2 linked regions of the Oryzias latipes genome follow. The protein of the gene in region 2 purifies or fractionates together with the protein of the main gene of each other region. This does not show direct contact. Links are inferred from orthologs where the notes say so. Each region holds a gene or a part of one and is shown on either strand. Other genes may lie near its edges.

The links. The genes of interacting proteins can lie anywhere in the genome.
Region 1: the proteins of rnd3 (region 2) and plekhg5 purify together in Homo sapiens (affinity purification with western blotting; 3 studies listed by BioGRID and IntAct, with this or other methods). This does not show direct contact. The link is inferred for Oryzias latipes from reciprocal best matches to the Homo sapiens genes RND3 and PLEKHG5.

What each region holds. Positions count from the first base shown.
Region 1 is NC_019865.2:24,328,723-24,331,070, reverse strand, and holds part of plekhg5 (pleckstrin homology domain-containing family G member 5), read right to left. Parts: intron 1,891-2,348; coding exon 1,771-1,890; intron 1,606-1,770; coding exon 1,473-1,605; intron 1,365-1,472; coding exon 1,249-1,364; intron 1,164-1,248; coding exon 1,018-1,163; intron 583-1,017; coding exon 1-582. UniProt on the Homo sapiens protein: Functions as a guanine exchange factor (GEF) for RAB26 and thus regulates autophagy of synaptic vesicles in axon terminal of motoneurons. Involved in the control of neuronal cell differentiation.
Region 2 is NC_019860.2:17,608,162-17,612,501, forward strand, and holds the start of rnd3 (rho-related GTP-binding protein RhoE), read right to left. Parts: upstream 2,811-4,340; 5' UTR 2,689-2,810; coding exon 2,539-2,688; intron 2,456-2,538; coding exon 2,368-2,455; intron 1-2,367. UniProt on the Homo sapiens protein: Binds GTP but lacks intrinsic GTPase activity and is resistant to Rho-specific GTPase-activating proteins.

The sequences.
Region 1 (2,348 bases), on a different chromosome or scaffold from region 2:
CTGCGCTCTGATTCCTTGGAGGCGGAGCTGACCAAGTGTGCATGAGAGATGGGGGCGTCGCCGTGGAAACGTTGCAGGAGGTTGTCCTCGGAGCGTGACAGCGCGGACAGCCGCTGTGGGCACTGCAGCTTTGACTGAATGTGAGGCCGCCGGCGAGGTTTACTGGACAGAGCAACGGACGCCTGAGACCCCAGAGCGGCCTCTTCCTCCTCTACCTCCTCCTCTTCATCATCCAGCTCCTCGGTTACCGCCTCCCCCTGCTCCTCTCCCTTACTCCTTCGATCTCCGTCCTCCTCCTCGGTTTCCTCCCCTTCACTTGGGCCGGGCGGCGGCTGCAGCTCCCGAGAGAGCGATCCCGGGGAGAGGGTACCGTAGGCGCTGTCCATGGAGAGAGACCGGCACTGAGCGTCCAGCCCCTCTACCTCCAGACCGTTCAGCTGGGGGGAACTCTGGAGGTCTGAGCTGTCAGACAGAGGAGACTTATCCCCGGGTTCCTCGATGTTTATGCTGGGGGGCGGCGGGGGCTCGCTTCGCTCCTCCATGTCCATCACCGACAGCGTCTCAGTGGAGCCGTCTGAATGACTGCAAGAGACATTTATTTTACTTCCTAAACAACACATGAGTCAGATCAAGCATTTTTGGAAAATCAGGTCTTTTCAAAATTATTTGAAACACAAAAACTTTAGCTCTTTTGTTCTTTAAACTTGTCCCAAAGCCAACGGCAGGGTTTAAAGATCACATTTACTATTGATTTTTTTGATGGGCGCTTCTTAAGGCAAGACCGTCCGATACATCAATCGCGATCAACCGGTCAAGCGTGATGGAAGTGCCGGGGGATAGTAGGCCATCAAAGATACAAGAAAAATAGATTTATTCATTTATTTACATGACCATCAGCCTCGCTCTGAAATACGTCTTGATAGACATGCCAAACGGTCAATCGAAAACCCTCTGATGCATGCGCCAACGCATAGCGGGTCTCAGCACGCTCCGTTATTGAGGAATTTGTAAATGTACCTGGAGTTCTGCTGCTCTTTATGCTGCAGGATTGGGGAACTCGTGGTGGAGTTGCTGCTCTCATCGTCAACGTCCACCCCGGAGCAGCTCCTTGGGCGCTGCTGCCGCCGCAGGTCCTCCTCGCTGCGAAGCCTCTGCAGCTGATTCTGGAAAAACAACCCAGGAAGCACATTTTACAATCTGAGCCATTTCAGAGCTAAAAACAATATGAACCATTTCTGTTTTACCAACCTGGATGTTGTAGATTGCATCGATCCAGCATCGCCCCTGAGTGGCGCTGTTGGCCTGGAAAGTGTAGGCCGCCACAGCGCTGTTGAACTCGTTGAGGTAGATGAGGATAAAGGAGCCTTAAGGGACAAAAAAAAGGCATGAAATTAAACTTTCCTGCTTCAGTCTTTAACAAAAAGTTTAGGTAATCCCGGCCGTCACAGTCGGACCAGCAGCAGAACTCTTACCAGGATCTTTCAGCTCTTTGCAGACGATGTTGTGGATGAGGAGGGGCTGGCGGATAACCTTAACCTTCTCCAGCCTCTTCACCGGTTTGGTAATCAGCAGCAGGTCAGTGAACAGGAAGCAGTAGACGTCCATCTGAGCAGGAAATGAATTGAATTGTATGTAAAGTTGGGACAGCTTTTAAAAAAAAAAAGTAAACATTTTAAACGTGAAATATGAGGCAACAGACTGAAAGCAGGTGTAGCTTCTTGGCAGAGGTAAGCGATAATGGAGTGTTTATAGGGAGTGGTGTGCTTTTACCCTGCTGTCCTTGCCCTCTTTCATCCTCAGCGCTCCCTCCAGCTGCAGCTGTCGAGTCTCCTCTGGCGACGTTCCCCTCATGGGAGCCATCAGATCGAAGCGGTTGTACTCTTTGAGGATCTAAAAGAAGACGGGAAGAGCGTGAAGCCTCCAATTTTACCTCGAGCCTCGACGGGTGCTGGGAGCCCGGGATGCAGGCTGGATGGATTCATTCTGGTTGTGTTTACTGATGTTGGAGCGGTTTTAAGAGGTCAGTCTGTTTTTTTCTACGTGTTGCAAACAAGGTTTGGAGTTTGCGTTGTCACAGTAATGTTGTTTTAGCGGTATCAGTCTGTTTTTTACCTGTTGCCTACAAGGTTGGGTACTGTAAATACTAGGGGTTTAACGGTACACTAAAATCCCAATTTGGTTCGGTTCAGAATTTCATTGGTCTCGGTTCGATACATTTTCGGTATTTTTTCGGTACGAAAAAAGGCAGAAAAAAATTTCTTGCAAAATGCATTTATTGGTTATATATAACTATAATAAAATTAACTTATGGAGGTGATCTGCTATGTAAAATAACACACTTGTTAGCT
Region 2 (4,340 bases):
ATTTATGCTCTGAGGCTTTGGAAACTCTCCTAAAACGAGCAACAAGGAACTCCAATTACAGCCGAAGTACCGATTCACATCAGCATGTTTTCCAGGAAAATCCAAAAAAATAAATAAAAAAACTCTTTTAGCTCTCAGATTGCTCAAACAATAAGTTGCAAAACCCAAAAAGAAACCCTCACATCTGACTGTAGGAACATCTGCTTTGGATCAACATCCCTGCAGCGTCAAACACAGACCAGCATTCTGACAAAACCAGCATTTCAAACTCTGAAAGTCCAAACGCGTCGGCACGGTTACGACAGAGTCTATGGAAACAACAGTAAAGCATAAACAGGGAAGAGTTGTGCAACGAGTCAAACTATTATAGACATTTCAAAACTGGCAAACACTGACTCACATTTAGCCTCCCCTCAGAGCTGGATGATGCATTTAGGATCAGATTTAGCATAGATCTATAGAAACTTTGCTGCCTATTCCCTTTAAAACATAAAGACATACAGTTTAGAGAGGAAATTATTTGGCTACATCTCCTGTTTCCATGTCAACAAAAGAGTGGCAAGGCAAGAAGAATTAACCATTTATCAATTATCCCGTTTCCATGGCAACAAGAAACGCAAGCTTTTGTTTGTTTTTTTTTGCAAAAGTTTCTATTCACTTTCAAGATGCAGAAAACTTCTATTGAAAAAAGGTATGAGTGTAAATGAAGGAGGCATGAATAAGAGCCGCCTCATCATTCATTATGGAACCTATTTCCAAGGTCGCACAAAATGTAAAAGAACAATTTTACGGTTTAGGCATCTTAAACTGAAAGAAATAAGGAAGATACAATACGAGTCAGTGATTTCATCTTTTAGAAAATATATTTCTAAAAATTGCCAACTTGAGATACGACCACCAAGTCTTTCGAGATCAAAGAATTTGGCGTTAAAATCAAAGGAATAGCACCCTCAAGTGTGACATTTGCAAGTCAACATTTAAAGAAGTCCTATCGATAGGACTTTTTTGACGTTTCATTTAATATAGAGGTCTAGGCGTTAAAAAAAAAAAAAAAAAAAAAAAAAAAAACTCTAGTGGTTGCTTTGTGAAATACACCAATTTCGATTTAAACAGACTTCACTCCGGAAGTCAAACTGTGACGTTTTAAATAAAAAAATATTTTTACGTTAAAGTCAACAAAAGAGTGCCGAGTTGAACCAGAAGCGAACCTCATTTCAGAGTCTACACTGAGCAGCAAGACAAAATGAGCAACACTTGTCAAGTTTATCCGGCAATAACCACGTCAGGCTGTTCTTTACAGCTAGCGTCGACCGTTCCCGTTAACTAAAGGTCATAAATAATGAAGCTAATTTCAGCGTCTCGCATGCCAGCTGGAAGGACCTTCATCTGATGCATCTCCTGTGATCAACAGTAACGAGCCTGTTGGGCGTTTGCTAACTTTCCCTTCGGTCAGGAGGGGGCCTGAGGGTTGGTGCTCCTGTCCTGTTCAACCCCGGCGCCGTTGCTGCTGGTTGGGGCGTGCAAACATGAGTCAAAGTCCTCCTCGCCCTGCTATGACACCCCCTCCCCTCAGACAAATGGAGGGTCCAACAACTGGCAGGCGTTTACACTAAATGACGCAAATACCAAAACACACCACACCGCAACAAAGGATAGGTGCAGTTCCCGGCCTTGCTCAACCCTTCCCCCTCCCACAAGATTCGACACTGGAAACCAGCACCCATCAATCAAGGGGTGGTAGGGTTCTCTGTGCTTTGGGGGGGGGGGCCCTCGTGTGAAACTCATGAGCCGGTTCCCGTGTTCCAAGTTATTCCGACGCAATGTTTGGAATTCCAGACCAGGAACCCACAACAGCTGGCGGCCAACTTCTCCCCACCCATCCCTCTCTCCCACACGGTCACACCACATGCCTCTGCACACTTGCAGTGTGTGCCTCCATGGCGGCCAAACCTCTGTGATTCCAGACAAACACAGTGGAGATAAACACCTCTGGATCCCAGCAGTTTTAGGGGTGTTTTTTTTCTGGGGAAGGGGGGGTGCACAAACCTTAGATAAAAGGGCAAAAAGTGAACCAGTCAATGAAAAGTTGCACATTCTCAGAAAAGTGAGAAGAATTCCCCAAAATGAGTTGGAATACCAGCTGGGCCAAGTTTTTTGGTTTTGGTTCCTAGAGTCAGATCCGATGAATCATCCACTGAAATGTTTTTAATGCAAATAATCCAAAAATGGAGGTTTAAAAAAAAAAGAAAAATTGCATTTATTTTGTAAAACTCCCAGCATCCTCCACTAAAATGAGTCAGGGATTCATTTGATTATTGATAATTTAAAAAAAAAAAAACAATAAAGTTTGGTGTTTTAAATGTTTACCTGAAGTGTCCCACAAGCTGAGCTCGATCCTCTGGGTGTCGATCTCAAAACTGGCCGTGTAGTTTTCAAACACTGTGGGAACGTAACTCTGAAGGAAAAACACACAGAATTTGACGTTTTCCCCGTGATGCGTTCACGGGATCTTCGTGCCGTGAGTCTGCGGCGTCTCACCTCCGGGAAGCAGTCCTTGGCGAACACGTGAAGCAGCGCGGTCTTCCCGCACTGGCTGTCCCCCACCACCACTATCTTGCACTTCACACTCTGACTCGCATCCATGCTGGACTTCAGAGAGGACTTCTGGCCGGAGCGTCTCTCCTTCATTGAGTTACGATCACGGGAAATGGGTCCACAGCTGGGGGCCGTCTGTCAGCGGGGGAACTCCCTCCTCGCTGGCCTGGGAGACTGTCGGTGTCCGCGGGTATCTCCGTCTGTTCAGAGCCGGTAGAAACGCTTCGGTCTGGCTTTATACCGCCGCACGAGCCAATCAGAGAGGCGCTCTCCTGAACATGCCCCGCCCATCTGCGTCACTGCTGGGTTTGGAGCCCCCGTTGGAGGGAAAAACTCAAATTTGTAATGATATAAATATAAAATAAATAAAATGTGTGATTAAGACGAATGCTGACGTTTGGCTGAAGCTCTGACCAAAATATAGATATTCACTAAAACCAGGAGGTAACTTGTTTATGCCAAATAAGACATTGAATTAGCATTTTGCAAGTCGTGCAAACATAAAATAAATAAATAAAATAACCTACATAAAAGTACTGGCTGCTCTCGAACATTTGGCCAAATGCGAGACAAAGTTAATTTTGTTGATTTCCTTTGAGTATGGAAGAGGATAAGGAACATAATGGAAATAAAGTGGTGAGAAATTCTGAATTCTTTAAAAATGCTCAATTTAATTTCAGAATTCCAACCTAATCTTGGAATATTGATTTTAATCTTAAAATTCTGACTTAAAATTTAGCATTATAATTTTTTGTCTTTAAAATTCTAATTTAAAGACTTCAGGCTGCCATTGCCAACAAAGGGATTTCAACCAAATATTAGTAATGACCATTTTGTTTTCAGTTATTTCATTTGTCCAATTACTTACGAGCCCATGAAATGAAAGGATTGTGTTTAAAAAATGGCTTAGCTCCTGACTGTATATTACCCATGGTGCACTAAATAATTTTTTTATTTTATTAAATATGAGTCATTTTCCTGAGTTCTTTTCCAACCTGGAAGTAATAGACTCGATCTCTGAAGCACCGCCTCTCGCTCCGTGTGGGTTCCGCCCATTTCATGACATCATCCTACAACCGGCCTGGGCAGCCTGTCTGCATTTCGCCCGTAAACGTTTTGCAAATTAAATATTGAATTCTGAGGAAAAGAAGTCCAAATTTTGAGATTAAAGTCTGGACCTCAGAATTCTGTTTTTGTCCTGACTTTTTTTCCTAACAATTTTAACCCTAATCCTGAAATTCTGACTGTTTGTATTCCAAGATTAGAGTAGGAAACCTTGGAAACCAAATCAAAATTGTGAGAATTAAACTTAACAATCGGAGTCAACAATTCTAAGATTCTGACTTTAATTCTGTTTTTTTAAATTTAATTTCCAACTTTGATCTCCAAATTTGAAGAAAAAAAGTCAAAAATTTGAATCAAATCCCAGAACACAACATGTTTGAATTCTGAGATGAAAGCTATGATTCTTTAAAGGAAAAAAAAAATCTACTAATGCCTTTTTTTGTTCCCTATGGCTGTAATATTCTTTTGTATTTAAGCTTGGATTGAAAATATGGATTTCATGACAACAAAGTAAAAACAAATAAAAATAGTTTTGAAAAAGGCCAGGATGATAAAGTTGCAAAGGAAGTTTAAAACTTGATTTCTACCCTACCTACCGCATTAAAAAAGGGTTCTGTTGAAGAGTTAAAGCTGAAGCTACAGTTCTGATTTTTGAGATAATTTAGCATCAACTGTTCTTC